2 linked regions of the Lonchura striata genome follow. The protein of the gene in region 1 purifies or fractionates together with the protein of each later gene. This does not show direct contact. Links are inferred from orthologs where the notes say so. Each region holds a gene or a part of one and is shown on either strand. Other genes may lie near its edges.

Region 1 (15,903 bases):
ATGTCAGTGGTTTTTGGGGTTTTTTTTGTACTATTGTATTCGTATTTTAATTTTCCTACTAAAGGACTGTTATTCCTATTCCCACATCTTCACTTGAAAGCCACTTAATTTCAAAATTATAATAATACAGAGGGAGGAGGGGCACATTTTCCATCTCAAGGGAGGCTCCTACCTTTCTTAGCAGACACATCTTTTCAAAACAAGATACTTGTGCATTACTGGATAGTGGAGAGTGGTGTCAAAGAGGGGAAGACTGTGAAACTCCAAAGCCTGGCACCCCAACAATACTGAACTGCCCAGTGTTCTCTTCTGCTGGCCCACCTCAGAAATTATATCTGTGAGGGCAAAGCCTCTTGTACTCTGCCCAGCCCCCAGCACACATAGGAATTCTGTGAACTTCTCATTCCTCAGCTTCTCAACTTCAAGAGAATAAGAGCTTCTCTAAACATCCAGACCAATAACACATAAAGAGTTACTCCTATTACTTGGTAAAAAAGTACAGTTTTGAAAATACGGTCAATGAGTTTTTATAATCCTTACTCATTTTTTGGATACAAAGGCATCACACAGCATCTTATGTATTGGACACCCCCTAGTCTGAGACTAAGACAGATAATCAACAAACACACAAAAAAGAACTCTCATTCATCAGCAAACAAGACACATAGCTGCAAAAATTAGGATGCAAATTATTTTCCTCCCTCTGAATCTCATGCAGCCATTGTGTGCCCTGGTCTGTATTAAATTAAGGATGCTCAGCAAGACAAGCAATGTGATTCTCCCCAGCTACATCAGCAAACAGTACATTTCTCCCTAAGGCACTGAGCAGAAATGGTGCAAGGCATTTCCACGGCTTTCCATTGCTTGCTTGAGGAATGCTTGGTCAGTCTTTCCCTTTTGACTCCTCTCTAAGCATCCACCCCAGTGTTTTCTCTCAAGATCTTCCATCATTGTGGCTGCAGCTGTGGGAAGACCACGCTCCAGCACGGTGCGGGTGGAGGGAGGCATAGATCTCTGAAGGTTGCTCTTGGGGAAAAAGGTTTATTGGGGGTGCAGGAAGGTCCGAGCCTCGTGCTCTTAGGCGTAGCACGTGGCCGGGCTTAAGAGGGTGGGGGAGGGGAGAGACAAAAGGAGGGTTTAGGAGAGGGGAAGCTTCAGGAGGGGAGGAGGTTCCAAGGGAGGGGGAGAGGTCTAAGAGGGGGAAAAAGTTCCAAGAGACCGCATGGCCTCTCGGAGCCTCCTTATCAGGGGCTCCTAGGTGGGCTGGGATAAGGTATGGGCCAATGGGGTTACAGACACTGATGTTTTAGGGGAAGGTACAGAGGTGTGGGATGAGCCATACCTCTTTTGGGGGGTGGGATGGAACAGTCAATTTCACTCCAGGACTCATCCAGGGGCAGGAGTGACATCCGGCTAGCTGGGAGAACTGTTCTCATCCTAGCTGTATTATTTATGAACAATCATATCTATCTATCATCTGCAACATGCAGCAGCATTTCCTGGGGGAGGCAGCTCTGCCAACGTGGCCCTAAGGCTCCAGAAGCCTTTGGCTGACACTGGTGTGTAAGGTTAAAGGAAAACTGCTTCAGGAGAAGAGGAAGGAAAATGCAACCTGAGACTGCATGCATTAAGGAAATAGCTTTTTTTTTTTTTTTTTTTTTCTTGAGTAAAGGCTTGCTGCGGCCTTTCTAGAGCTGATCATGGTGCTGCCTCTTGCTGGAATGGGAGGCATCTGCGGACCTAGGGGTCCTCCTCTTTCGGCGGATATCACAGGTGAGGGCTCAGTGCCCTGGCCAGGAGCAGAGGAACCTGCAGCCACTCTTGTCTCCCCCAGCACTTCCTGGGGCTGCTTCTGCTCTGCAGGGATGGACACAAATGAGGAGCAGCTGGGACGTCCATGAAGGGCACTCTCCAATGTGCTGGCTTCCTCCTCCGTGTTGAAATTTGCAATGCCACTGGATGGGGCCTGGCTGAGGGTGGGAGCACCCTCCTGAGAGTCAGGGGGATCAGAGCTGGCAGCAGGGATCTCATCTGCTGCGTCTCCCCCTCAAATCCACGGGGATAGTGTAGTAGATAGCGACAGGCGAACGGAAGATTTAGGGATGTGACGGAAAGGAAGACCCCCATCCCCCTCTCACCCTGCAACATGTTATCCATTACCCCAAAGAATGTAACCACACCTAACCCAGTAGTCTTCCACTCCTGACTAACCCTAGAGACCCTGCCAACCCCCCCTGACATAGCAGAGTCCCCCAAGACTATTTAAACCCATGAGATAAGATAATAAACGCTTTTCGACCGTCCACCACACTGGTGCCTGCGTGTGTCGTTAGCCCAAGTGGCCCAGGGGAGACTGGGCTGCCGTGCTGTTCCTTGCAACCAGGTCGCCATTGTCTTCCATGAAGGCAACAGATAGAACCCCTGTGGAGCCCGGCCAGCTGGGCAGTGGGGCGAAGCGGGCAGAGGGAAGGAATTTCTCCTTGGATCCCAGGGGGTTTGGAGAAGCTCCCACATGAGTCCAAAGACGAACTGGTTCCACAAGCAAAGGAAAGAGGCGCTCTCCCTCAGGATTAGTTCCAAAGTTTAATGAGGGCCTGGAGAGATCCCAGGCCACATCTGGCTTCAAAGGACCTCCAGAGCAAGAGCGAGGGTCTCCCAGCCCAGAGCTGCCAGATATAGGGGGGGGGCGGGGAAACCCAAGCAGGCAATGGGGGAAGGACATGGGAGTGGCTCTTGGGGGGCAAGGCCTCAGAGTGACCACTGAGGAGGGGGTGGGGGAGGAGTCCCAGCCAGGGTCCAGTTACCTGGTGACCCTGGGGGAAGGATCTGGACAAAGGGGAAGGGTCACCAGGTGATGGACACATCACCTGGGAGGAGACAGGGGGATGGGTTGGGGTTTGATGGACATACAGGTACTGATGGGAAAGCTGGGATGAACCAAACAGGTACAAAGAGGGGATATGGAGGGACAAACCATTATAAGGGGATATGCAGTGCAAACACAACTCTACACTCATCCTCCTCCCTGGCAGTCTGAGAGTGCAGCAGCCTCCAAACCTCCTCACTGCACTGGGTCTCGATATTGAGGATGCCATGGACAGTGATGCAGTGTATTGCTGGAGATGGGGCTGCAATCTCTGGACCAAGACTTCTCTGTCTGGACCATAGACACAGAGTGTGAGCACAATGCCGCTCTCTGCATTCTTCACCTCATACTACTTGCCCCCATATATAATCCCCAGCCCCTGGTGCAGCCATGGCCTCACAGGGTCCAGGAGGTTCCATTGTCTTCAGCAAAGTTCTGCCCAAAGCTCTGGCAGGATGCCACCCATGGCTTCTGGTCCTGCAGCCTGCTGCTGAGCAGGGGCTGTTATTCCTTGTGGACAGGCAACAAGGGAATCTGCAGGGCCAGGGGATCTGTTTTCAGCCAGGCCTCTAGGAGCTTCTGCTGCCTGGTGCTGGTGTCTGGCAACTCTCTGGGAGGTGTGATAACATAGTGTAGGTTGTCATCTCCACCATGATCAGAAAAATTCACTATCAAGATGGATCTTCTGCAGAGTGAGCAGGCAGGATTTCTTTCTGCCCAACGCAAGACGCAGCCAAGGCAGAATTGGTGGCCGCAGGGCATTGCGTAAGCAATGTCATCTGGTGCATTGCAGCAGATGGGGCAGCTCCACTCCTTCCCTGTGGCCATGTGTACTTGTTCCCACAGGTTGGCCCAGGCTCTGACAGCACCTGATTTTACAGAGCAATGGATGTGAGGTCACAGTCATAATCTACCACCAGGATTATGTGTGGGTCCTCTGCTTGTTTTTTCTACCTCTGTCGAGGTTGGGATTGAAGGCACTTGAGACGGTGTTTCATGTCGGACTCACGTGTTTATTATTTCTTATCAGTGAAACAACCTCACAGCTGTGAGTTCTGCAGTCTTTCATTAGCAAAGCATAAAATGGCTAACTATCTCTTGTTACAAGGTCTTTTAAAACTAAACTATCCAATTAGGAAATGACACCTGGACTATTTTCCCTTCTAACCCAATAACTGATACCTCAAATCCTGCAATGCAGACTTTTCTGTCTAATTACAAAACATCACCCAAACCCATGAAGAAGAAGGAAGAAGAAGGCGAAGAACAACCCTTCTCCTCCCTACAACCTGTATCTTGCTTTATATTTATTTCTGTATTCTAAAACCCCAAACTCTAAGTTTTCCATCCTGTGATATTACACACTTCTAACCAACTAAGAATTCCAGTGCTATTAATCAATTTTGGAAGTCTTCTCCACAGCTTCAAGTCAAATGCAGTGCTCTCTTGCAAGTCTCTGCCTTTCAGCACAGAAAGTTGAAAATTCTCAGCATCAAGGATTCCAACAATTATGATTATTCCTAGGAGTATTATTGGAATTACTATCACCTCCACAACCCAATAATGTTACAATATGATGTCTACCCCTGTGGTTCTTGGAAATATACTGCTAGTTGGAGGCTGCCCTCTGCCCTCTTGTGCACCCCAGAAAGGAGGGCATCACCAAACAATGAGATCTGAGTTAATGGATACATGGCTGTGGAGAAACAGCAAGGTTAAAGTTTGGTCCATCACAGATCATCACAAATTCAGCACAGGGGGTTCAGGAAATCAGGGAAAAATTTCAGATGACACTATGAGGAATGGCTGGATTTCACAATCCATGAAGGAGTGTTTCCCGAGAGATGGCCAAAATGCACAGATAACCTGCACAGGAGAACTAGACATGTTGGGAAGGGGAGCCTTTTAGGAGAAAAGTGTCAGTGCAGCTGTATCTGCAACATCATCTAAGTTTGACATTGCCTAAATAACGCTGTCCCAAATCCCAAGTCTGGGACCAGATCAATTCATGTTGGAAGCAATGGGGAAAAGGGTCATTGGGGTGGAGTTTTTTATGTCAGTAGAGGCAGGACTGGAGAAAGTGAAGTGCAAGGGCATCTGAGGAGGGGAAGAAAAGACAGAGCCTTTGATGACTGGCATGAAATACCTATGGTGAGCTGAAGACATGGGTGAGAAGAAGAGAAGTAGAAAGCGGAGTTGCAATAGCCCAAGACATATGCAGAGGGGCAATGGAATATTGGGACAGACATCCCTTGTCCATCACTGAACTGTGGAGGCTGGCATCAGAGTGGCGGACCGTGACAATTCAAAGCCTGGCTCTCCAACAATGCTGAACTGTCCAGTGTTCCCTTCTGCTGGCCCACCTCAGAAATGATATCTGTGAGAGCAAAGCCTCTTGTACTCCGCCCAGCCTCCAGCACAGATAGGAATTCTGTGAACTTCTCATTCCTCAGCTTCTCAACTTCAAGAGAATAAGAGCTTCTCTAAACGTCCAGACCAAATAACACATAAAGTTAGTCCTATTACTGAGTTGAGCAACTGATTAATAACTTACATAGCTTCACTTTCCAAAAAACCTTTCAGTTCTTGTAATTATCTTTCTGAATGTCGTAAAAATTTTTATACTCACTCTGCACTTTATTAGTGTATTCTATACCATTCTTTGTAGACCTTATTACTTGCACAAAAATCACATTGCACTATTTCTTCTTTTTACTAACCTATTTGGCTACAAGATAATATACCAAAATTGTGTTGTGGGTAAAGAGAACTATTGTGAGAAAAACAACAGAGAACCAGAAACAGTAAATTTTAGGTTCTGTTCATAGCTTGGTCTCAGACCAAGAACACAAAGGTATTTTATAATTACTTTTCCAGATATGTTATCTAAATCTGCCTTTTTCCACTTTCAGACTGAATTTTAGAATCACTAATAATTCACCATACCAGTTAAAGTTACAGAAGAACTACAATCAGTGAAGTCCGTAGTTGTTTGGTATCCTTAAACCGACATACCTTTGAAGTAAAGATTCTGAAAAGTGAAAGGCATAAAAGAAATGGAGTCTTTAAAAAATAAAAAAAAATCTGCTTTACCCTCTGTACTGCTCTCTTTAGAAATTTTCATTCCTATTCTTACGTTTTACTCTTAGAGTGATGATGTAAAATAATGTATTAACAATAATACTCAGCAAACTGAGTATTAGAATAACATGCACTATTTATGAGTCTCTAATTTGTGAAACTGTCACAATCAGATGCACAACAGCACCCTTTTGGTATTTTTTGTATATATGGCTCTTGGAACTCAGATTTGGTCAGATTTCAAACTGTTTATATGCTGGATGTGCTGATTACTATAATTTAAGGCAAAGTATTGATGGATTCAGACTATGCAGATAATACAGTTATTTCTTGTGTAGTTTAGGGAAAGGACCTTCGTCATGTCAGCTCACAAAGAACCCCTTTGTCACTAAAAAACAGGAAACAAACTCTCTAACCAGTTTTTTGTTAGAAAGCTGATATTTTTCAATATGTTTGGTACATGGGGATAGCTTCACCTAACACATATATCCACTTCCAAAACTTTTCACTATTTATGCACTGTAACAAATAAAGAAATGAATGTTCATTGACTGTAAGTTCCATAATTCTCTTCATTAGTAAGTATTCTATCTCCTATTTGTTTTCTCACGTCTCATGCTAATTAGCCCAGCTCTCCAGTGTTTTTATCTTTTTCCCAAACAGCACATCCAGTACAATTGCTGAACTGAAAGTGATACAAGTCTGTCATGCATTGACTTGGTTAGTTTTTTCTTTATCTTGAGTTTCTGCAAAATGTCCTCGTTGTTCATGAATTTTCCATTACCTGCATCTAGTTTCAACAATAGATGTCTCTGCAAGGCTTTGTTAACATCCTTCCTGGTCTGAGATTATTGAAACATATCAAAGTGTTGATTCACTTGTTTCAGTGAAACTTAAAGTTTCAGTAATTTCCCCAAACCATGTTCCCACAATACCAGCTTATGACAACATTGCTAAATGCCAGCTACAGTGGCATATGACAGAGCGTAAAATTACATTGCTTCAAAATAATTAAAATGATTAATTACAAGAGATAATTAAAATAATCTATTAGAAAAATTATGAGTAAAGTTATATAATTTCCCACACTAGTTGTGGCACGAGGCTTATTAGTCACAGATGTAGAGACTTAAACCCACATTTATCCTTAGTGTTTGTAGTAAGCACTGTATGATACAAAACAAAGCATTAATCGTAGATAGGATTAATGCACAAACACCTGTCCTAAGGTTAAAAGAATTTTTCTCCCACTGCTGCATAAACTCCTTTTAAAAGAATTTATGTTACTTGCTGGGTAACATTTTTAACTACAAGTCCTGTGACTGTCCACACAATTATGTTTTACATACTTTCCTCACATATGTCAAATACAAATATTAGATACTACACTGTAATATCTAAAATTTCTAGCTTAAACATGAAATGCTGCTTCCTTAATAGTATAACTGGATTTTATATATAGTGGTTATTGGGGGAGAGCAGGAGACTACTGAAGGAACTTTACTGAGCAGAATCACAGAATATTCTAACTTGGCAGAGACCCACCACAATCATAAAGTCCAGCTCCTGGGCCTGCACTGTACATCCCAAGAATCACATCACGTGCCTGACAGCTTTGTCCAAACACTTACTGAATCCATCAGACTTGGTGATTAGACCACTTCCCTTGGGAGTTTGTTCCAGTGCCCAATTCCCCTGTCGGTCAAAAACTTTCCTGATATCCAACCTAAACCTCCACTGACTTAACGCTTAACGTCATGCTATTTTCTCGAGTCCTGTCACTGTCACCACAAAGAGATCAGTGTCTGCCCTTCCTCTTCCCTCACAAGGAAGTTGTAAGCTGCAATGAGGTCTCCCTTCAGTCTCCTCTTCTCCAGGCTGAACATTCCAAGTGACCTCAGCTACTCCTCATATAGCTTCCTCTCTAGACCCTTCATCATCCTTGATACTCTATAGTAGCTTAACGTCTGATTTACATTGCGGTGCCCAAAACTGTCCCCAGCACTCGACGTGAGGCTGCACAAGTGCAATGTAAATTTGCAAGTATACATTAATAAAACCGAAAAGGAAACACAAGCATGCAAAAGTTTACAACATACTGTTTTGCCACGGCCCTTCATTAAAAATTAAAAGTTTGTAAAAGGAAACGGAAACATCCCTCTTCCACGAGGAAGTGTTCTACGCCCGCCCCGCCGCGCCCCACACGCTACGACGGATCCCGGCGTGCCGCGCGCGGGTTCGGCCATGTTGTGGGGCCATGTTCCACAGCAGCACGCAGCGCCGGCACTGGCTCTTTCATAGCGAGGAGGAACTGGCGCGGCGCCGCGCTGAGGGGAACCGCCGGGCCCGAGCCAGGGCGGTGGCCAGCGGAAAGGTGCGCAGGGGCTCGGAGGTTGCGGGCGCGGGGCGGAGCGGAGCGGGGAGGCAGGGGCGGCGAACTCAGGCGCGGCTTTGCTTCTCCCAAGGTGCCGGAGGGTGACCCAGTGCTGCTGGAGCCACACGAGGAGCTGGCGCTATGCAAGTACTACGAAAAGAGGCTGCTGGACTTCTGTGCCGCATTCAAGCCCTCGATGCCGCGGTCCGTTGTGGTAAGCGAGGCGAGGAGGAGCCGTAGCCTCGGCCTTCCTTATTCCTTCGCTTGCTGCCTTCTTGGCTTGTTCTTGAGAGCGCGGATATCTTTAAATCTCTTCATCTCTCTTCTCTCCTTCTAGCATTACAGTCTGTGGCAGCTTGTTGTCTTGTTTTCTGACACGTAGAGCCATTTCAAAACCTGATACTTTTCAACGTGATCTTTTGCTTGTGGCTCTTAAACTTGCTTGGGTGACTGAATTGTTTTGCTTCCCCTTAGCAAAGAGTAGAAACAAAATAGTTGTAGATGATTGGTGCTAATGTTTGATGATACAATGAAACAATCTCCCAGTCGCTGAAGGAGACGGTCCCAAATTTGGGCTGTCATTCAGATGTTTCTCTAGCATTAGTGCTTCTCTGACCACAAAATAAGCTGGATCGTGTACTGGGAAAACATTACCCTACAAAGGAAAAACATTACCTTGAACTTAGATGTCTTGAATGCAGAAGACCGTATTTCAGAAGGGAGAAGTGGGGACATAGAGCTGAACAGAGTGAAATTGTGCCTCACTCATTAAGACATTAAGATGTATGATTTACATTGTCCTACATTAGTCCTCACTTTTCCAAGCATGTGTGTTGAGTACTGTGCTTGAGGGTGTCTTTGAAAGGTAACAGTCACTGTCATGGCATGTGAAGCCAGATTGATGTTTGAGAACTAGCTCCTGCAGAGTCTAATTTTGGAAAGCATCGACTTTCATGCTGATAAACATGCTGCAAAATTTACTGATGTAAAAAATCAAATTGTTTCAATTGCTTGCAACTTTGAGGATGATTTTTTTCAGCCTTTGATTTTTAAATTTCATTTTAATACCAGGTTATTTTCATAAAGGGACTCTTGGCTTTTTAGGCATTGTCTTCTAAAACATGTCTAAAAACAAGGAAAATTGTTTTGTATTACAGTTGTAGTATAAGGTTCTTGCAGGCAAAAAAGACTTTGAAGTACTTCATTCCTGTGTGTGTGAAATACTTAATTTCTGGCTGTATGTGTCTTAGTGCCTCAGTGTATCCTGTGTGCCTGTAGCATATATCCAAACTTGCCCGTTTTGGGAGGGGAGTTTCTTTTTATTTTATTTTTTTTTTCTTCATCCATTTTTTTTTACCTCCCTATTTTTTTCTATTTAGGGTACAGCTTGCATGTATTTTAAACGTTTTTACCTCAATAACTCAGTGATGGAGCATCATCCTCGGATAATAATGTGAGTTATCAATACTTCTTTATATTTGTAAAGACGTAAAAAAAAAAAAACTAAGAAAGAAAATCTGAGAACTTAAATAGGAGTAAAGACAAAATATGGTCAGTTTCACTATCTTTTTGCTGTATTCAGAACATATTTAAAAATACACATTTTCTGATCAGAACTTTCAGTAGGAGAATGGATGCTGCATATGTCAATTATTTGCTTTTTTGGGTTTTTTTTTCCCTCCTCAAGGCTAACATGCACATTTTTGGCCTGTAAAGTAGATGAATTTAATGTATCTAGTGCACAGTTTGTTGGTAACCTTCGAGAAAGTCCTCCTGGACAGGAAAAGGCTCTTGAACAAATACTAGAATATGAACTGCTACTTATTCAGCAACTGAACTTCCATCTGATCATCCACAACCCATACAGACCATTTGAGGGATTTCTAATTGATATTAAGGTAATACTCTCCGATATGCTATATGCTTTGTATAGTAAAGTGATACAAGTCTGTCATGCATTGACTTAAAAAACTTAATTTCCTTTTGTGCCTGTGATTTAAAAAATCTAATTTTCATAGTGATAGACAAATACCTGAAAGACAGTTGTCTTACTTGTGGTCTTTAAGTTATTTGGGATATTTTTGGAATAAAAACTTCTACTTTTTAGCTAAAAACTTGCTACTTTTTAGCTATATAAAATACTGTTGAATTGTGTATTCTGAACTCATGAAGAAGAATGACAAACAGCTGCCTTTTTTTCTAAATCATTACTTTTTAGACTCGCTATCCAGTGCTGGAAAATCCTGAAGTTTTAAGGAAAACAGCTGATGACTTCCTTAATCGAGTGGCTCTGACAGATGCGTATCTGCTCTTTACTCCCTCACAGATTGCTCTCACTGCCATATTATCTAGTGGCTCAAGAGCAGGAATTAATATGGAAAGGTAGTATTATTTTCTTATATGTGTGGTTTAAACAATCTGTTTGCTTCTTGTATAAAACTGTTTTGCTTAGACATTCTTAATTACTAGAATTTTGTATTTGTTGATTGCTAGCACTCATCTGTTCTTTATGGTTTAGAATGGAAGTGTTACTGTTCATTTTCACAAATAGGTGATGAAAGCAGTTAGTTGCTGTCTGGTTTTTATATTCCTTTAAAAGAAGTTAAAACCCTGACAGCTTTCCCTTAATTAGAACAGCTTAGGGTTTTCAGACTCAGTTTGAGGGTTAGACAGGGAAGAAAGTGGAAATATGGTAGAAATTGAGAGTCAACTGAAATTACACTGAACTGACAGCTAATGGGCATGCTGTAACATGCTGTGTTTGATTGCTGCAACTGTTCAGTTGCCATGGGTATGCACAAGGGCTAAGGTGTTGCTTTAAATCACTCTTTTCTTTCCCTTCTGTGAAACCCATAAGTACATCTTGCATGTCCTTGCCACTGGTGTTTGCAGAGGTACTGTCAAACACTTTGATATCTTTGTTGAAATGTGTAGTTGGTTTAATTCTCTTTTGGACAAAATGTATGCTTTTGTTCAGATGAACAGCTGAGGTGGTTGCTGCAAGAAACTGTACCTGGCATGTTTTAATAACATGCCTGTGAGCATTTTGCATCTGGAGTCTAACACCTGCTCTAAACCCAAAAAGTTCTTCTGATCTTCCATCTGTTCTAAATGTATGTCAAATCTCTGTAGTTCTAAGATAAGGAGCGTTGGGAGTATTCTTTACAGGATTCACTGTCTTCTAAGAATTGTATAAAAACATTCAGGTGCTTACTTCTACTTGAAATTTGATCTCATTTTTAGATCTGTATTCTGTACTGCTTGTGCCAAAATTCAGAAAACCATGCTTGCAAAAAGAATGAAAATAATTTATAGCTAATGTGGAATTCAAGGTGTCTGAACTTTGTTGTCATGTTCAGGAAGAATTCAAGTCTTTGCTACCTGTCTGCACCATACAATTGTATGTACCTTGCCATTTACTGTTTGTGAGTTTTTGCTGCAGACATGAGAGAAGCTGATGATGCAGCTGACGGTCTGTGTATCTGTGATCAGGTGGAGCTGCAAAGGTGGTACAGAACACGTGAAAATTGGAAAACCCATTGCTCTCATGGGGGAAGGGATGGAACTCTTTGGTTGTTGTGGGTGTGAGTGAGGAGGATTGTTCGTGTCTGTTTTATCCAGGCAATGTGCATTTGTGTTCTTAGTAAAGAGAAGTTTCATCTGGTTGGGAAGAGGAAGGAACCCGTAGGCTCAGGCAAGACAGTGTTTAGTAATAGCTTTCAGCTGCCAAAAGAAGCAGGCCTGTCTTGCAAGCTCTGCTGTTGGTTAGTCTGAAAACCACTGTAGTGCTTGCTTGTCTTGTAGGCATACTGTACAATAGTATGATGTGTCATAAAGTCATAAATGTAATTTGACTTAGCTCCATGAGGATTAGAAATACCTAATTTGGCAGTGGCATTTCTACATGACTGGAGGAATATTTTTGTCACCTTCTTACAGTGACAGATTAGCTTTTTTATTACTTTATAGCACTTAAGTAAACAAAGTGTTCTTACTTATCTAATTATAAAGCTCTAGGAGATGTTCATTATAAATAATACACTCTTACTAATCACAGATGATTACCATAAATTATTATGACACTTTAAAAATTTATTTTTCAATGTCTCTTTTTAGCTATTTATCAGAAAGTCTTAAGCTGAAAAAAGACAGATCAACCTTATCCCGATTACTGGATGACATGAAATGTAAGTAAACACTGGAAAAGTATATTAAAGAATATATCAAAACAAGGAAGAACCATCTTTTTCCATATTACAAAAGCTTTAGATAGTTTTGCTTCAGATAGCTCTCTTCACCTTAAGACAGGCATAAGTAAACTGCAGACAGAATGAACTACCCAGCATGTAGATGGAGGAGGAAAAAAGACTGAAACAAAACGAACAAATAAATTAAACAAATGAACATGAACAAAAATAAATAAATGACCAGGCAGAGGAGCTGCGTGATGCTTTCAGAATGTAAGTGCTAGCTAGAGTCAAGGTGCTAGCAGCTGATTCAAAAGTGAGAAAACTATTATATAACAGTATCAGTAGGACAGAACTAAATTGCTTATTATGTCACCATATCTTAAACATTACAGCTTCAGGCAAAGTCTGCATGTAATTACTACCACCAGAAGGTACGTTTTGTAAGCTAAATGACTAATGTGATATGCCAGTTTTACACTGCACATTTGTTTTGCGTCTATGTTTCAGAAGATGCTTAGCTTCACTAGTGTGAGAAATATCTGTGTATATATTTTTCAAATATTAAGAATACTACCATGGTTTAGCTAAGCTAAAAGGGAGTATAGTACACTGATTATTACCTGCTTGTATTTAAATGAAAAGGTTGTGATATGAAATTCCCAGTAAGTAATCAGGTACTGAATGCATTAAGTTAATGCATGCACTTAAAATGGGAGTGATGGCAGTAAAACTAGGCTGGCTGACATGAGCAGTGAATGCACCATACAAGTATCCATGGTCTACCAATTCAATTTACCTTTAATTTATAATATTTAAGATGTCCTTTACTTTCTGGTCTCCTAACAAATCAAGTCTTCAGACTTCCATTGCTGAGGTAGAAGGGAATGCTGGGATCACTTACTCTTCACTTCAGTTGTTGTGGATGCTAGCTTTAGCCCAGAGGCAACTCTTCCATAAACATAAGACGGTTGGAAGGAAATTTTTCAAACAATTTGTAAATTACTTCTACAGAGTACTGGTGATAGAGAAAAAGACTCATAAATTTAATTTGCACTATTAGAAAGACTGGAACTGGATTTTTTTTAGGACAGCAAGTACAAGGTTGATTGCAAAAAATACCTGTGTATTTTGAAGCTTGTTAGCAGAGTAATGTAAACCCTGCCTTAAGGAAATCCAAAGTCAGTGATCCTGGAGACTTGTTTCAGTGTAGTTATAATAAGGAAAGGAAGGATGAACTGTTGGTTGAAGCCTGATTATGACATAAGCAATAATCAGCCACACGGGAGACTGGATAAGCTTATGTGAGTATCAAGTGTGGTGGTTGACCCCAGCTTGATGCCAAGTGACCACCAAAGTTGCCAAGTGACCACCAAAGTCACCCTGTCACTGATCTCTTGTCATGGTTTGACACTGGTATGTTAGTGCTTTTATGAAAATGCAACCCCCCAAATGATTGCTGTGAGATACGATTAGGAACATAGTAGAGTAGGCTCAAGCTTAATAACAAAGGAAAAACTTCATTAAATTACTACTACTGTAAAAGGAAAAAAAAAGAAGAAAAAAAACCACACATTAAATTTAAAATGAAAACTTTCTAAAACATTCTTCTTCCTCCCCCCACAATTCTAACAAACTACAGTGAGACACAACTTGGACTTCTAATCAGGTCTTTCCTTTTCAGATAATCAGTATTCAGTTTATCGAGGGAGAGAGAAGTCTTTCTTGTGTCACAGACTCTCTAAGATACACAGCTGTTACTCCTTGTGTTTCTGTGTTAAATATGGCACTGCCCGGAGAAAATTTGTTATGGTGACACTCTCCTTTCCATGCACAATGTTCTCACTATAGTGCATGGACAGGGTGCTTTTAGGATTTTTTTTCAAGGATGCTTTCCTAAGAGGAAAAAAAGAAAACAACAGTTCAGTTTTTCATTTTTGGGACCGCAGTCCCCCCCACTTCCCCCTGGGACCGAGGGTCTAAGAACAGAGATCTTCTTCTTTTTCTTATTTTTTGAAGATGGGAGTATTACCACAAGTCTCTTTTAACTTTTTTCTGTTCACTCTACTCTTGTCTTATCTGTTAAGGCAGATCTCATGGCTCACTGTGTATCTTCTTAAAATACAGTTTTTCTTTTAGAGGAGAAACTGTTTCAGTCTATGTTTAACAAGAAATAGTTCAGCTGAAAGCTACGTTATAATTTTTTCTCCTAACTTTCTTTTCTCAACATTTCAGGTTTTAGGCTGTCTTTTTTTTTCCTCTTTCAAACTGAGGAGGAGTTATATTTCATAAAGCTTTCATTTTTCAAGAGACTTAAAAGTCTCAAATTCTCTAGACACCAGACTCTACCTAAACCTCCAACTCCCACACTAAAGACCTTACCCCCCTTTCCTCCTCTATGAGAGTACTACCAGCACTGTCACTATCTTTTTCTCTCTCTCTCCAGAGAGACTCTAAAGAGAAAACACAAACATCCCAAATTTTCTCCACCCTTGCATCTGCAGGGAGCCGGAGCTAGTCCTAGTCTACTTACTCTTCAGCCTACTTTAACTTCCCCTCCCCCACCCAGCCACGGGCTGGGCAGGGGAGAATCTATACTCTCTAATAAATAAAACTAAAAAGAACTAGTTCTCGTGAAAGAGAACTTCTATGTTCTCAGAAATGTATGTAGCCTTTAATTAACCAGCCTAAGTGCCAATGTCTAACTACTGATTAGTTTAACGCTCTTCCTTCTGAAAAAAAAAAATTCTGTGTCAAACCACAACACCTCCCTAGCTGGGCAAGGGAGAGAAAAGAAAATCACAAGTTCATGGGCTAAGGTGAGAGCAGGGAGACGTCACTCACCAGTCACTGTCATGGGCAAAACAGACAAAACTGGGGGCAATTAAATGATCACCAAGCAAATCAGAGTAGGGTAATGAGAAGTGAAAACCAAATCTTAAAAAGTCCTTTGCCCCATCCCTCCCTTCTTCCTGGATTCAGTTTCACTCTTGAATTCTCTCCCTCCAGTGCAGGGGGTCTGTAGTCAGCTTACCGTATGTTTCTGTTGCTCCTTCCTCCTCACATTCTTCCCTTGCTGCAGTGTACAGTCCCTCCCACAGAGACAATCTACAAATTTTTACAACATGAGTCCTCATGCTACAGTTCTTCATTAACTGCTCTAATGTGGGTCCATTACATGGGATGCAGCCCTTCAGGAATAGGCTGCTTCAGTGCCGGTCTCTGATGGGGTCACAAATCTTGTTAGCGTAGGTTTCTCTTCTGTACATGATATGGTACATAGCATGGTATTCCCAAGGGGTCACAGCCTCCTTTGGGCACACCTATCTGCTCCAAAGTCACCTCCTGTACAGGCTGCAGGTGCATCTGCATACTTCATACTCCTGTTGTCTTCC
Region 2 (16,794 bases), on another chromosome or scaffold:
GGATATTTTGGGATATTTTGGAACACTTTAAGGATATTTTGGGTAAATTTTGGGCTGTTTTGGCTCTCACCGAGGCCCTGGCCAGGAAGCAGGGGCAGCTGGGGATGTTCTATGGCACTTTAAGGATATTTTATGACACTTTAAGGATATTTTGGGATATTTTATGACACTTTAAGGATATTTTGGGATATTTTATGACACTTTAAGGATATTTTGGGATATTTTATGACACTTTAAGGATATTTTAGGGTAATTTTGGGCTGTTTTGGCTCTCACCGAGGCCCTGGCCAGGAAGCAGGGGCAGCTGGGGATGTTCTGTGGCACTTTAAGGATATTTAAGGATATTTTATGACACTTTAAGGATATTTTGGGATATTTTGGAACACCTAAGGGATATTTTGGGTAAATTTTAGGGTATTTTGGCTCTCACCGAGGCCCTGGCCAGGAAGTAGGGGCAGAGGCCGCGCTGCCGCCCGAGGCTCCGCAGATCGTCCAGGTTGTGAACCCCGAAGGGGAGGGGGCTCTGCCGGCCCCGCGCCTCGAACTCCTGGGGGGAGAAAAATGGGGCTGGGGGCTTCGAAAATGGGAATGGGGGATCCAAAAATGGGAATTGGGGCACAGAAATGGGGCTGGGGGCTTCGAAAATGGAGCTGGGGGCTTCAAAAATGGGGCTGGGGACTTCCAAAAAGGGAATTGGGGCACAGAAATGGGGCTGGGGGCTCCAAAAATGGGAATTGGGGCTTTGAAAATGGGGCTGGGGGCTCCAAAAATGGGGCTGGGGGCTCCAAAAATGGGAATTGGGGCACAGAAATGGGGCTGGGGGCTTCGAAAATGGGGCTGGGGGCTCCAAAAATGGGAATTGGGGCACAGAAATGGGGCTGGGGGCTCTGAAATGGGGAGGGGGCTCTGCCGGCCCCGCGCCTCGAACTCCTGGGGGGGAGAAAAATGGGTCTGGGGGCTTCAAAAATGGGGCTGGGGGCTCCAAAAATGGGTCTGGGGGCTTCGAAAATGGGGCTGGGGGCTTCGAAAATGGGAATTGGGGCACAGAAATGGGGCTGGGGGCTCTGAAATGGGGAGGGGGCTCTGCCGGCCCCGCGCCTCGAACTCCTGGGGGGAGAAAATGGGGCTGGGGGCTTCGAAAATGGGAATGGGGGATCCAAAAATGGGAATTGGGGCACAGAAATGGGGCTGGGGGCTCCAAAAATGGGGCTGGGGGCTTCAAAAATGGGAATTGGGGCTTCAAAAATGGGAATTGGGGGCTCCAAAAATGGGAATGGGGCACAGAAATGGGGCTGTGATCCCCCCAGGACCCCCTCAGACCCTTCAGGACCCCCCCAGATCCCTCTGGGACCCCCCAGATCCCTCTGGAACCCCCAGGATCCCCCCCAGATCCCCTCAGAACCCCCCCAGACCCCTCTGGGACCCCCAGGATCCCCCCCAAATCCCTCTGGGACCCCCCTGGATTCCTCTGGGACCCCCCAGATCCCTCTGGGACCCCCCGGATCCCTCTGGTACCCCCCTGGATCCCTCTGGGACCCCCCGGATCCCCCCCAGATCCCCTCAGAACCCCCCCAGACCCCTCTGGGACCCCCAGGATCCCCCCCAGATCCCTCTGGGACCCCTCTGGATCCCTCTGGGACCCCTCAGGACCCCCCGGATCCCTCTGGGACCCCCCGGATCCCCCCCAGATCCCCTCAGAACCCCCCCAGATCCCTCTGGGACCCCCAGGATCCCCCCCAGATCCCTCTGGGATCCCCCCCGGATCCCTCTGGGACCCCTCAGGACCCCCCGGATCCCTCTGGGACCCCCCAGGACCCCCCCAGGATCCCTCTGGAACCCCCAGGATCCCCCCCAGATCCCTCTGGGAGCCCCCGGATCCCTCTGGGACCCCCCGGATCCCTCGGGATCCCCCTGGATCCCTCTGGGACCCCCCGGATCCCTCTGGGACCCCCCGGATCCCACTGGGACCCCCCGGATCCCTCTGGGACCCCCCGGATCCCTCGGGATCCCCCCGGATCCCACCTGGAAGAAGCTGCAGCCGGGCCGGGCTGTGCCGGGGCTCTCCCGCAGGTAGGAGGCCGTGAGCGCCAGGCAGCGGCTGTCCACCTCCCGGCCGGAGCGCAGCGCCGACACCTGCGGGATCCGGGGATCCGATGGGATCCACCGACAGCCCTGGGATCCCCAATCCCCCCTGGGGTCCTCCAATCCCCCTGGGATCCCCCTGATCCCCCCCGGGATCCCCTCCCGGCCGGAGCGCAGCGCCGACACCTACGGGATCCGGGGATCAGACGGGATCCACCGGGATCCACTGACAGCCAGGGGATCCCCAAATCCCCCCGGGATCCCCCAATCCCCCCTGGGATCCCCAAATCCCCCTGGGATCCCCCCTGGGATCCCCTCCTGGCCAGAGCGCAGCGCCGACACCTGCGGGATCCGGGGATCAGACGGGATCCACCGGGATCCACTGACAGCCAGGGGATCCCCAATCCCCCTGGGATCCCCAATCCCCCCTGGGATCCCCAATCCCCCTGGGATCCCCCCTGGGATCCCCCAATCCCCCCAGGGATCCCCCAATCCCCCGGGATTCCCCCCCCGGCCGGAGCGCAGCGCCGACACCTGCGGGATCCCGGGATCAGACGGGATCCACCGGGATCCACTGACAGCCAGGGGATCCCCAATCCCCCCCGGGATCCCCAAATCCCCCTGGGATCCCCCCCGGGATCCCCTCCCGGCCAGAGCGCAGCGCCGACACCTGCGGGATCCCAGGATCAGACGGGATCCACTGACAGCCCTGGGATCCCCAATCCCCCCTGGGATCCCCCAATCCCCCGGGATCCCCAAATCCCCCTGGGATCCCCCCTGGGATCCCCTCCCGGCCAGAGCGCAGTGCCGACACCTGCGGGATCCCGGGATCAGACGGGATCCACTGACACCCCTGGGATCCCCCAATCCCCGCGGGATCCCCTCCTGGCCGGAGCGGAGAGCCGAGACCTGCGGGATCCACTGGGATCTACCCACAGTCCTGGGATCCCAAATTCCCCCTGGACCACCCCCCCCCCCCCCCCCCAAGATCCCATCAGATCCCCCTGGATCCCTGGGATCCCACCTGGGGGTGCAGTCAGAGCCCCGGATCCCCTAAGATCCCCCCGGATCCCTTTGGATCCCCTCAGATCCCATGGGATCCCACCTGGGGGTGCAGGCAGAGCCCCGGATCCCTTTGGATCCCCCGGATCCCCCCGGATCCCTTTGGATCCCCCCCGGATCCCTTTGGATCCCCTGGGATCCCACCTGGGGGTGCAGGCAGAGCCCCGGATCCCCTAAGATCCCCCCGGATCCCTTTGGATCCCCCGGGATCCCACCTGGGGGTGCAGGCAGAGCCCCAGATCCCCCCGGATCCCTTTGGATCCCTTTGGATCCCCTGGGATCCCACCTGGGGGTGCAGGCAGAGCCCCAGATCCCTTTGGATCCTCCTGGATCCCTTTGGATCCCCCGGGATCCCACCTGGGGGTGCAGGCAGAGCCCCAGATCCCTTTGGATCCCCCCGGATCCCTTTGGATCCCCCCGGATCCCCCCGGATCCCTTTGGATCCCCCGGGATCCCACCTGGGGGTGCAGGCAGAGCCCCAGATCCCTTTGGATCCCATCAGATCCCCCAGATCCCTTTGGATCCCATCAGATCCCATAGGATCCCACCTGGGGGTGCAGGCAGAGCCCCGGGTCCCCCCCCAGATCCCCCCGGATCCCTTTGGATCCCCCCAGATCCCATGGGATCCCCCGGGATCCCACCTGGGGGTGCAGGCAGAGCCCCAGATCCCTTTGGATCCCCCCGGATCCCCCCAGATCCCTTTGGATCCCCCCAGATCCCATGGGATCTCCCGGGATCCCACCTGGGGGTGCAGGCAGAGGTTCTTGCGGGAGCTGAGCGCCAGCGCCAGGAGGGGGAGGGGCTGGCCCAGCTCCCTCTCGTAGCCTTCCAGAAGCTTCCGCAGCTCCTCCACCACCTGCCGGGAGCCCCGGGATCCTCAGGGATCCACCGGGATCCGCCGGGATCCGCCGGGACCCCCCGGACCCCCCGGACCCCCCCCCCGACCTTCTGGATCTCGGGCACGGTGCGGGAGCAGTAGATCAGCTTGGAGACCTCCAGCGGGTGGGCCTGGGGGGGAGGAGGGATCTGATGGGATCCAGTGGGATCCAGCGGGATCCAACCCGGGATCCAGCCCGGGATCCAGCCCGGGCGTTGGGGAGACCCCAGGATCCACCAGGATCTCCCCGGAGCCATCCGGAGCCTCTGGGATCCACCAGGAGCCTCCCAGATCCCCCCCGATCGTCTCGGATCCCCCCCAAAATCAGCCCAGATCCCCCCAGAATCCTTCAGACCTGGCAAAACCCCTCCAGATCCCCCCCAAACTCACCCAGATCCCCCCCAACCCCCCCAGATCCCCCCAAAACCCCCCAGATCCCTCCAGATCCTTCCAGATCCCCCCAAAACTCTCCAGATCCCCCCAAATCCCCCCCAGATCCCCCTGAAACCCCCCCAGATCCCTCCGAGATCCCCCAGGATCCCTCAGACCCCCCCCAAACCCCCCCAGATCCCCCCAAAACTCTCCAGATCCCCCCAAATCCCCCCCAGATCCCCCTGAAACCCCCCCAGATCCCTCCGAGATCCCCCAGGATCCCTCAGACCCCCCCCCAAACCCCTCCAGATCGTCTCCGATCCCCCCCAGATCCCCCCCAAAATCAGCCCAGATCCCCCCAGAATCCTTCAGACCTGCCAAAACCCCTCCAGATCCCCCCCAAACCCACCCAGATCCCCCCCAAACCCCCCCAGATCCCCCAGGATCCCTCAGACTCCCCCAAACCCCACACCCAGATCCCCCCAAACCCCCCCAGATCCCCCCCAAATCCCCCCCAGATCCCCCCAGACTCCCCAAAATCCCTCCGAGATCCCCCAGGATCCCTCAGACCCCCCCCAACCCCACACCCAGATCCCCCCAAATCTCCCCCAGATCCCCCCAAATCCCCCCCAGATCCCCCCAAAACCCCTCCAGATCCCCCCAGACTCCCCAAAATCCCTCCGAGATCCCCCAGGATCCCTCAGACCCCCCCCCAAACCCCTCCAGATCCCCCCAGATCCCCCCCGATCGTCTCAGATCCCCCCCAGATCCCCCCCAAAATCAGCCCAGATCCCCCCAGAATCCTTCAGACCTGCCAAAACCCCTCCAGATCCCCCCAGATCCCTCCAGATCCCCCCAAAACTCACCCAAACCTCTCCAGATCCCCCCAAATCCCCCCCAGATCCCCCCGAAACCCCCCCAGATCCCCCCAAAACCCCCCCAAATCCCCCAAAACCCCTCCAGATCCCCCCAAATCCCCCAAAACCCCTCCAGATCCCCCCAAATCCCCCAAAACCCCTCCAGATCCCCCCAGATCCCCCCAAAACCCCTCCAGATCCCTCCAGATCCCCCCAAAACTCACCCAAACCTCTCCAGATCCCCCCAAAACCCCTCCAGATCCCCCCCAAAACCCCTCCAGATCCCCCCAAATCCCCCAAATCCCCTCCAGATCCCCCAGATCCCCCCGGATCCGGCGGGATCCGGCGGATCCGCACCCGCTGGTAGGCGACGATGAGGGCGAGCAGCGCGATCGTTTTCCCGGTGCCCGACGGCATCTCCAGCACCCCGTGGCCCTGGGGGGGGAGGGGAGGGGCGCTCAGGGGGGGCGGATCCCGCCCGATCCCCCGGGTCCGGGTGGATCCCGCGGGTGGATCCCCCCCGCAGATCCCGAGGCCAAAACAGCCCCAAAATCTCCTTTTTCCCCCCCAATTTCCCGGATCCTTTCCCGGGATTCGGCAGCCCGGGCCCCCAAATCCCAGCCGGGGGTGGATCCCCGGGGTGGATCCCCGGGGTGGATCCCCGGGGCGGATCCCCGGGGTGGATCCCCTCGGTGAATCCCGGGGTGGATCCCACCTTGGCGTCCAGCGTGCGCTTCAGCTCCAGCATGTAGGAGAACTGCTCGGGGTAGATGAACTCGTAGGGGAACAGCACCAGGAGCCCGTCCACGTTCAGCCTGCGGGATCCCGGGGGATCCGGTGGATTCCAGGGGTGGATCCCGAGGGATTTGGGGGGTTTAGGGGAGATTTAGGGGATTTTGGAGGGGATTTGGGAAGGATTGGGGGGGATTTGGGAGGATTTTGGGAGGATTTTGGGGTTTGGAACAGCACCAGGAGCCCGTCCTCGTTCAGCCTGGGGGATCCCGGGGGATCCAGTGGGTTCCAGGGGTGGATCCCGAGGGATTTCGGAGGATTTGGGGGTTTTTGAGGGGATTTTTGAGGGGATTTTGGGGAATTTTGGGGTTTGGAGCAGCACCAGGAGCCTGTCCACGTTCAGCCTGCGGGATCCAGCGGGATCCGGTGGATTCCAGGAGTGGATCCCGAGGGATTTTGGGGGGTTTAGGGGAGATTTAGGGGATTTGGGGGGTTTTTGAAAGGGTTTTTGAGGGGATTTTGAGAGGATTTGGGGGATTTGGGGGTTTGGAGCAACACCAGGAGCCCGTCCACGTTCAGCCTGGGGGATCCCGGGGGATCCAGTGGATTCCAGGGGTGGATCCCGAGGGATTTTGGGGGGTTTAGGGGAGATTTAGGGGATTTTGGAGGGGATTTGGGGGGATTTGGGAAGGATTGGGGGGGATTTTGGGGAATTTTGGGGTTTGGAACAGCACCAGGAACCCGTTCACGTTCAGCCTGGGGGATCCCGGGGGATCCAGTGGGTTCCAGGGGTGGATCCCGAGGGATTTTGGGGGGTTTAGGGGAGATTTAGGGGATTTCGGGGGGGATTTGGGGGGATTTGGGAAGGATTGGGGGGGATTTTGGGAGGATTTTGGGGTTTGGAGCAGCACCAGGAACCCGTCCATGTTCAGCCTGCGGGATCCAGTGGGTTCCAGGAGTGGATCCTGAGGGATTTTGGGGGATTTGGGGCATTTTGGGGGGTTTTGAAAGGGTTTTTGAGGGGATTTTGGGAGGATTTTGGGGAATTTTGGGGTTTGGAACAGCACCAGGAGCCCGTCCTCGTTCAGCCTGGGGGATCCCAGGGGATCCAGTGGGTTCCAGGGGTGGATCCCGAGGGATTTTGGGGTGATTTTGGAGGGAATTTGGGGGATTTTGGGGGACCTGGGGAGTTCCGGAGCCTTTGAACAGCCTCAGATCCTCGGGGGGGGGGCAGGGGTGGCTCGAAAGTCCCAAAATTCCCTCAGATCCCCCCAAAAATCCCCAACCCCCCTCAAATTCTCCAAAATCACCCCAAAATTCCTCCCCAAACCCCAAAAATCCATCAAAATTCACCAAAATCCCCCCCAAATTCCCCCAAAATCCCAAAATTTCCCCAAAAATCCCTCAAAATTCACCAAAATCCCCTCAAATCTCTCCCAAAACCCCAAATTCCCCCCAAATCCCTTCAAATCCTCCAAAATCCCCTCAAATCCCCGCCAAAAAAACCAAGATTCCACCCAAATCCCCTCAAATTCTCCCCAAACCCCCCAAATCCCAAAAAGGTCCCAACATTCCTCCAAAAGTCCCCCGAAAATTCCCACAAAAAGCCCCAAAATACTCCCCAAACCCCTCAAACTCCCCCAGAACCCCCCAAAATTCCCTCGAATTTCCCAAATTCCCCCAAAATTCTGCCCAACCCTCCCAAATCCTCCCAAATTCACCAAAATTCCCTCAAATCCCCAAAATTCCCCCAAAACTCCCCCAAATCCTTCCAAATTCCCCTCAAATTTCCCAAATCCCCCAAAATCTCCCCAAAATTCCCCCCCAAATTCCCCCCAAACCCCATCGAATTCCCTCAAAGTCTCCCCCAAACCGCCCCAAAATTTCCCAAAATCCCGAAAATTCCCCCCCAATTTCCCAAAAAAATCCCCCCGAAATTCACCCCAAAACTCCCAAAATTTCACCCCAAACCCCCAAAATCTCCCTCAGATCGCCCCAAATCCCTTCGGATTCCCCCCAAAAAATCCAAAACTCCCCAAAAATCCCCAAAATTCCCCAAAATTCCCCAAAATCCCCCAAATTCCCCCAAAATCCCCCCTCACTTCATGGCTCGCGCCGCTGCCTCGCGCCGCCGCCGAGGCCCCGCCCCCCGCCGGCCCCGCGCATTCCCATTGGTCAGCGCTGATCCCGCCTCGCTCTCCCATTGGCTGCCGCAGCTGCCACTCACGGGGGGGGGGGAGAGCGCTGCCGGGGAGGAGCAATCGAGCGCCGAGCGATGGATCGGGGGAGGCTGGTGGGGGCAGAGAGGAAAAATTTGGGGATTTTGGGGGTTTTTTGGGGATTTTTGGGGAATTTTGGGGAATTTTCGGGTCTTTGGGGACATTGGGGGAAGCGCGATTAAAATTTTGGATTTTTGGAGACATTGTCGGGGTGGGGGATGAGAAGAAATTTGCGGATTTTGGGGTTTTTTTGGAGATTTTTTGGGATTTTTGGGGAATTTTCGGGGATTTTTGGGGGCATTTGGAGACATCGGGGGAGGGGCGACAAAAAAATTTGGGGAATTTTGGTGATTTTTTGGATTTTTAAAAAAATTTTTGAGGACTTTGGGGAGAACGGCCAAAAATTTTGGGGATTTTTGGGGTTTTTTGGATTTTTTTGGGTTTTTGGGGATTTTTTGGGGGTTTTTTTTGGGATTTTTGGGGGAGGGGCGACCAAAATTTGGGGGATTTTTTTTGGATTTGCGGCTGTGACGTCACCGAGGGCGGGGTGAGAGAGGGGCGTGGCCTCCCACACCTATCCGTTAATGAAACTCATTTGCATAAATCTGCATAAATTAATTTTATTTGCATTTCACGCTTTTATTGCCAAAAAAGCTCCCGCGAGAATTCACCCGAAGCGCCGGCAAAAAACCAGCCGGGATTTGGGGAGAAAATCCCAAATTTGGGGAAAAACACAAATAATATTTAAGTCCCAAATTTGGGCGGAAAGGCACAAATCGGAGGGAAAAAAAAATCCCAAATTTGGGGAAAAAAATCCCAAATTTGGGGGAAAAAAATCTCAAATTTGGGGAAAAAACACAAATAAAAGTCCCAAATTTGAGGGGAAAACACAAAGCGGAGCGGAAAATCCCAAATTTGGGGGAAAAACCCAAATTGAAGGAGAAAAAAATCCCAAATTTGGGGAAAAAAACCACAAAAGTCCCAAATTGGAGGAGAAAAACCCAAATTGAAGGAGAAAAAAATCCCAAATTTGGGGAAAAAAAACCAAGTAAAAATCCCAAATTTGGGGGAAAAGGCGCAAATTGGTGGAGGAAAATCCCAAATTTGGGGGAAAAAAATCCCAAATTCGGGTTAAAGGCACAAATTGGATCGGAAAAATCCCAAATTTCATTTTTTTCCTGATTAAAAAATCCCCCAGCTCGGTGTCCCCTGCCCCGAATTCTTTTTGGGGGGAAAAAACCCAATTTTGGGGAAAAATACCCCAATTTTAGGGAATACAAAAACCTCGATTTTGAGGAAAAATACCTCAATTTTGGGGGAAAAAAAGCCTCAATTTTGGGGTAAAAAAACCTCAATTTTGAGGAAAAATACCTCAATTTTGGGGGAAAAAAAGCCTCAATTTTGGGGTAAAAAACCCTCAATTTTGGGGTAAAAAACCCAAATTTTGGGGGAAAACCCCAATTCTGGGGAAGAAAAAAAAACTGATTTTGGGGAAGAACAAAAATGGCCAATTTTGGGGCCAAAATCCCAATTTTGGGGTTTGTGGCCAGAGGGAATTTGGGGGAAATGAAGAATTTTGGAATTTCTGGGAAGCCCTGGGGCCAAAATCCACAAATTGAAGCGATTTTGGGACGTTTGGGGGGATTTGGGGTTTTTGGGGAGGATTTGGGGTTTTTTTTTGGGTGGATTTTGGGGTTTTTTGAAGATTTAGGGTTTTTTAGGAAGGATTTGGGGTTTTTTTTGGGAAGTTGCTCCTAAAATTCCCCTCAGGGATTTTAATTTTTTTTTTTTTTTTTTAAACAAAATTTTTTGGGGGGAAATGGGAATAAAAATCCAAGAAAATGGGAAAAAAAATCCAGAAAGTGGGAATAAAACCCCCCAAATATTGGGAATCAAACCCCAGAAAATTGGGAATAAAACCCCAGAAAATTGGGAATAAAAATCCAGAAATCGGGAATAAAACCCCAGAAATTGGGAATAAACCCCCAGAAATTGGGAATAAAACCCCAGAAATTTGGAATAAAAATCCAGAAATTGGGAATAAAACCCCAGAAATTTGGAATAAAAATCCAGAAATTGGGAATAAAAATCCAGAAATTGGGAATAAAACTACAGATATTGGGAATAAAACCCCAGAAATTAGGAATAAAAATCCAGAAATTGGGAATAAAACTACAGATATTGGGAATAAAACCCCAGAAATTTGGAATAAAACCCCAGAAATTTGGAATAAAAATCCAGAAATTGGGAATAAAACCCCAGAAATTTTGGGAATAAAACCCAAAAAATTTGGACTAAAAATCCAGAAATTGGGAATAAAACCCCAAAATTGGGAATAAAACCCCAGAAATTTGGAATAAAAATCCAGAAATTGGGAATAAAAATCCAGAAATTTGGAATAAAAATCCAGAAATTTTGACTAAAACCCAAAAAATTTGGACTAAAACCCCAAAATTTGGAATAAAACCCCAGAAAATTTGGGAATAAAACCCCAGAAATTTGGAATAAAAATCCAGAAATTGGGAATAAAACCCCAGAAATTTTGGGAATAAAACCCAAAAAATTTGGACTAAAAATCCAGAAATTTGGAATAAAAATCCAGAAATTTGGTATAAAAATCCAGAAATTGGGAATAAAACTACAGAAATTGGGAATAAAACCCCAGAAATTGGGAATAAAAATCCAGAAATTTTGGGAATAAAACCCAAAAAATTGGGAATAAAAATCCAGAAAATGGGAATAAAACCCCAAAATTGGGAATAAAACCCCAGAAATTTGGAATAAAAATCCAGAAATTGGGAATAAAAATCCAGAAATTTGGAATAAAAATCCAGAAATTTTGACTAAAACCCAAAAAATTTGGACTAAAACCCCAAAATTGGGAATAAAACCCCAAAATTGGGAATAAAACCCCAAAATTGGGAATAAAACCCCAGAAAATTTGGGAATAAAACCCCAAAACTTGGGAATACAAATCCGGCCCCGGCTGGGATTTGGGGGCCTGGGCTCCCGAATCCCGGGAAAGGATCCGGGAATTTGGGGGGAAAAAAGGAGATTTTGGGGCTGCTTTGGCCTCGGGATCTGCTGGGGGGATCCACCCGGGGGTTCCCACGGGATCCGCACGGGATCCAGCCTCGGTTCCGGGGGGAATTCCCAGGGGATCCCCTCGATTCCGGCTGGATCCCCCCTCGATTCCGGCTGGATCCCCCCTCGATTCCGGCTGGATCCCCCTCGATTCCCAGGGGATCCCCTCGATTCCGGCTGGATCCCCCCTCGATTCCCAGGGGATCCTCTCAATTCCGGCTGGATCCCCCTCGATTCCCAGGGGATCCCCTCGATTCCGGCTGGATCCCCCTCGATTCCCAGGGGATCCCCTCGATTCCGGCTGGATCCCCCTCGATTCCCAGGGGATCCCCTCGATTCCGGCTGGATCCCCCCTCGATTCCGGCTGGATCCTCCCTTGATTCCGGCTGGATCCCCCTCGATTCCCAGGGGATCATCTCAATTCCCAGGGGATCCCCTCGATTCTGGCTGGATCCCCCCTCGATTCCAGCTGGATCCCCCCTTTTTTCCCCAGGGGATCCCCCTCGATTCCGACTGGATCCCCCCTCGATTCCGGCTGGATCCCCCTAGATTCCGGCTGGATCCTCCTCGATTCCCAGGGGATCCCCCCTCGATTCCGGCTGGATCCCCCTCGATTCCAGCTGGATCCCCCCCTTTTTTCCCCAGGGGATCCCCTCTATTCCCGCTCAATCCCGAGGGATCCCCCGGGGTCGATCCCAGCTGGATCCCCACTCACACACACAGATCCCCGCTCCTGGTGCCGGTCCCGGCGGATTCCAGGGGGATCCCGGTGGATCCGGCCAGATCCCCACTCACAAGGATCCCCGATCTCGCCACCCGTCCCGCCAGATCCCGGCTGATCCCGGCGGGATCCCAGCAGGATCCCCCCTCGCAGGGCCCCCAGTTCTTGTTGCCAGTCCCGGTGGATCCCGGTGGATCCCAGTGGATCCGCTCTCGCCGTTGCTCCCATCAGATTCCAGCAGATCCCAGCCAATTCCCGCTGATTCCAAGGGGATCCCCGCAGATCCAGCAGGATCCCCTCTCGCAGGGACCCCAGTTCTTGTTGCCAGTGGATCCCGGCAGATCCCGGTGGATCCAGCGGGATCCCCTCTCGCAGGGACCCCAGTTCTTGTTGCCAGTCCCGGTGGATCCCGGTGGATCCCAGTGGATCCGCTCTCGCCGTCGCTCCCATCAGATCCTGGCAGATCCCAGCCCATTCCCGCTGATTCCAAGGGGATCCCAGTGGATCCGGCAGGATCCCCACTGCCAGGGACCCCAGTTCTTGTTGCCAGTGGATCCCGGTGGATCCCCGGGACCGGCTCTCGCCCATTGGATCCTGGCAGATCCCGGCCAATTCCTGCTGATTCCAAGGGGATCCCGGAAGATCCAGTGGGATCCCCTCTCGCAGGGACCCCAGTTCTTGTTGCCAGTGGATCCCAGCGGATCCAGCAGGATCCCCTCTCGCAGGGACCCCAGTTCTTGTTGCCGGTGGATCCCGGTGGATCCCGGTGGATCCCGGTGGATCCCCGGGACGGGCTCTCAGCGGGGCGGGCGGCCCAGCCTGCGGAAGACGCCACCGGAGCTGCTGCTGGACACGGCGCCGTCCTGCGCCGCCGGCCCGGCGCCCTCGCGGCGCCGCTTCAGCACGCCGGCGTACGGCAGCGCCTCGGGATCCGCCGGATCCCCCGGCCGATCCCCCGGCGGATCCCCCGGCGAGTCCCCCGGTGCCGCGCCCAGGCGGCTGAACACCCCCGAGGGCTGCGGGGACGCGGGTGCAGGGTGGATCCCGGATCCCCCAGTGGGTGCAGGGTGGATCCCGGATCCCCCAGTGGGTGCAGGGTGGATCCCGGATCCCCCAGTCGGTCCAGGGTGGATCCCGGATCCCCCAGTGGGTCCCAGATCCCGCCCTGGGTCCCTGAGCCTGATCCCGCTCTGGATCCCAACTCCTGATCCTGCCCCAGATCCCAAATCCCACCCAGGATCCCGCCTGGCTGATCCCCAAGTGGATCCCAGATCCCGCCCTGGATTCCAGATCCTGCCCCAGATCCCACATGGCCCATCCCTGAGTGGATCCCAGATCCCGCCCTGGATCCCTGAGCCTGATTCCACCCTGGGTCCTGACTCCTGATCCTGCCCCGGATCCCAAATCCCGCCCAGGATCCCCCCATGCCGATCCCCAAGTGGATCCCAGATCCCGCCCTGGATTCCAGATCCCCCAGGATCCCTCTGGACACCACCACCCCCCCACCCCCCCCCAAATCCTCCTGGATCCCCCCCGATCCCTCAGGATCCCCCCAAATCCCCTCCAAGTCCCCCAAAATCCTCCTGGATCCCCCCAGTTACCCCCAAATTCCCCTTGGACCTCCCCGATCCCCCCGGATCCCCCCCAAATCCCTCAGGATCCCCCCAGATCCCCCCGGGATTCCCCCCAGATCCCTCTGGACTCCCCCAGATCCCCCAGGATCCCCCACTGGACCCCCGCCTTAATCCCCCCCAGATCCCTCTGGATCCCCCCAGATCCCTCTGGACTCCCCAAATCCCCTCCAAGTTGCCCAAAATCCCCCTGGATCCCCCCAGTTACCCCCAGATCCCCCCAAATCCCCCCAGGATTCCCCCCAGATCCCTCTGGACTCCCCCAGATCCCCCAGGATCCCCCCAGGATCCCCCACTGGACCCCTGCCTTAATCCCCCCCAGATCCCTCCGGATTCCCCCCAGATCCCTCCGGATCCCCCCAATCCATCCAGATCCCCGAGATCCCCCCAGGATCCCCCCCCAGATCCCCCCAGATCCCTCCGGATCCCCCCAGATCCCTCTGGATCCCCCCGGATCCCCTGGATCCCCCCCGATCCCCCCCAAAATCCCTCCGGATCCCCCAGATCCCTCCGGATCCCCCAGATCCCTCTGGATCCCCCCGGATCCCCGGGATCCCCCCTGGATCCCCCCGGATCCCTCAGGATCCCCGGGATCCCCCTCACCTTCCCCGCGGCCGCTTTGGCCTCGGCCCCGAGGCGCTCGAACACCGACGGCCGGGCCGGGGCTGGAACGGGGCAAAAATCCCAGGATTTGGGGAAAATCGGGAATTTGGGGGGAAAATGGGAAATTTGGGGGGAAAATGGGGAATTTGGGGGGAAAATGGGGAATTTGGGGGGGAAAATGGGAAATTTGGGGGGAAAATGGGGAATTTGGGGGGAAAACGGGGAATTTGGGGGGAAAATGAGGAATTTGGGGGGAAAAATGGGGAATTTGGGGGGAAAACGGGGGATTTTGGGGGGAAAATGGGGGATTGGGGGAAAAAAATGGGGGATTTTGGGGAAAAATGGGGGATTTGGGGAAAATGGGGGGATTTGGGGAAAAATGGGGAAATTTGGGGAAAAATGGGGAATTTTGGGGAAAAATGGGGAATTGGGGAAAAAAAATGGGGGGATTTGGGAGAAAAAAAATGGGGGGATTTGGGGAAAATGGGGGGTTTGGGGGGAAAATGGTAGATCTGGAGAGAAAATGGGGGATTTTGGGGGAGTTTGGGGAAAAATGGGGGGATTTGGGGAAAAATGGAAGATTTTGGGGAAAATGGGGGATTCGAGATCCAGGAGGGGAATTCTGGGATCTGGGAGGGAAATCCGGGATCTGGGAAGGGAATTCTGGGATTTGGGAGAGGAAATCTGGGATCTGGGAGGGAAATTTAGGATCTGGAGTGAAAATCTGGGATCTGGGAGGGAAATCTGGGATTTGGGAGAGGAAATCTGGGATCTGGGAAGGAAATTCAGAATCTGGAAGGGAAATTCTGGGATCTGGGAGGGAAAATTCGGGATCTGGGAGGGAAATTCTGGGATCTGGGAGGAAGATTTGGGATTTGGGAGGGGAAATCTGGGATCTGGAAGGGAAATTTAGGATCTGGGAAGGAAATTCTGGAATCTGGGAGGGAAATTCAGAATCTGGAAGAAATCTGGGATCTGGGAAGGAAAATCTGGGATTTGGGAGGGGAAATTTGGGATCTGGAAGGGAAATTTAGGATCTGGGAAGGAAATTCTGGGATCTGGAAGAGAAATCCGGGATCCAGGAGAGGAAATCTGGGATCTGGAGGGGAAATCTGAGATCCAGGAGGGGAAATCTGGGATCTGGATGGGAAATCTGGGATTCGGGAGGGGAATTCCAGGACCCAGGAGGGGAAATTCGGGATCCCCTGCCCTTTCCCAGCAGGGAAGTGCGGGGCTGCGGGATCGGGGATCCGCCGGGGATCCGCCGGGGATCCGCACCTGGGATCTGCCGCGGGATCAGCCGCGGGATCTGCCGCGGGATCCGGCGCTCGGGCGCGGAGATCCGGTAGCGCCCCGGCGCCGCCGCCGTCACCCGGCGCTGCCGCGGAGCCGCCGGAGCCGCCGCGGGGCCGGAGCCGCCTGCAGGGGACAGGGATCGGGCAGGGATCCGCCGGGATCCGCCGGGATCCACAGACCCCTGGTCCTGCCAGGGGGATCCCAGCCCCTCCTGATCCCTCTGGATGGATCCCAGCCCCTCCCTGATCCCTCTGGATCCTCCGTGATCCCTCTGGATGGATCCCAGCCCCTTGGGATAGATCCGTGATCCCTCTGGATGGATCCCAGCCCCTTGGGATAGATCCCAACCCCTCCTGATCCCTCTGGGTGGATCCCAGCCCTTCCCTGATCCCTCTGGATCCTCCCTGATCCCTCAGGATGGATTCCAGTCCTTCGGGATGGATTCCAGTCCCTCCCTGGTCCCTCTGGGTGGATCCCAGCCCCATCTGATCCCTCTGGATCCTCCGTGATCCCTCTGGATGGATCCCAGCCCCTCGGGATAGATCCCAACCCCTCCCTGATCCCTCTGGATTTTCCCTGATCCCTCTGGATGGATCCCAGCCCCTCGGGATGGATCCCAGACCCTCCTGATCCCTCTGGGGTGGATCCCAGCCCCTCCCTGATCCCTCCGGATTCTCCCTGATCCCTCAGGATGGATCCCAGCCCCTCCCTGATCCCTCCGGATTCTCCCTGATCCCTCAGGATGGATCCCAGCCCCTCCCTGATCCTTCAGGATCATCTCTGATCCCTCGGGAGGGATTCCAGCCCCTCGGGATGGATCCCAGCCCCTCCTGATGGATCCCAGCCCCTCGGGATGGATCCCAGCCCCTCCCTGATCCCTCAGGGTGGATCCCAACCCCTCTGGGCGGATCCCAGCCCCATCTGATCCCTCTGGATCCTCCCTGATCCCTCTGGGGTGGATCCCAGCCCCTCCCTGATCCCTCCGGATCCTCCCTGATCCCTCTGGGGTGGATCCCAACACCTCCTGATCCCTCGGGATGGATCCCAGCCCCTCCCTGATCCCTCTGGATTCTCCCTGATCCCTCTGGATGGATCCCAGCCCCTCCTGATCCCTCAGGATCATCTCTGATCTCTCGGGATGGGTCCCAGCCCCTCCTGATCCCTCAGGGTGGATCCCAGCCCCTCTGGGTGGATCCCAGCCCCTCGGGGTGGATCCCAACCCCTCTGGATCCCCCGATCCCCACCCCCTGGCCTCCCC

The links.
Region 2: the proteins of CCNH (region 1) and ERCC2 purify together in Homo sapiens (affinity purification with mass spectrometry; 3 studies listed by BioGRID and IntAct, counting the BioPlex papers as one, with this or other methods). This does not show direct contact. The link is inferred for Lonchura striata from reciprocal best matches to the Homo sapiens genes CCNH and ERCC2.

Annotation. Positions count from the first base shown.
Region 1 is NC_134642.1:53,247,226-53,263,128, reverse strand, and holds the start of CCNH (cyclin-H), read left to right. Parts: upstream 1-8,178; 5' UTR 8,179-8,204; coding exon 8,205-8,321; intron 8,322-8,412; coding exon 8,413-8,535; intron 8,536-9,700; coding exon 9,701-9,774; intron 9,775-10,008; coding exon 10,009-10,219; intron 10,220-10,539; coding exon 10,540-10,703; intron 10,704-12,437; coding exon 12,438-12,508; intron 12,509-15,903. UniProt on the Homo sapiens protein: Regulates CDK7, the catalytic subunit of the CDK-activating kinase (CAK) enzymatic complex. CAK activates the cyclin-associated kinases CDK1, CDK2, CDK4 and CDK6 by threonine phosphorylation.
Region 2 is NC_134633.1:6,039,277-6,056,070, forward strand, and holds the start of ERCC2 (general transcription and DNA repair factor IIH helicase subunit XPD), read right to left. Parts: upstream 8,096-16,794; 5' UTR 8,090-8,095; coding exon 8,085-8,089; intron 6,066-8,084; coding exon 5,966-6,065; intron 5,686-5,965; coding exon 5,608-5,685; intron 4,153-5,607; coding exon 4,090-4,152; intron 4,001-4,089; coding exon 3,887-4,000; intron 2,134-3,886; coding exon 2,023-2,133; intron 548-2,022; coding exon 431-547; intron 1-430. UniProt on the Homo sapiens protein: ATP-dependent 5'-3' DNA helicase. Component of the general transcription and DNA repair factor IIH (TFIIH) core complex, not absolutely essential for minimal transcription in vitro.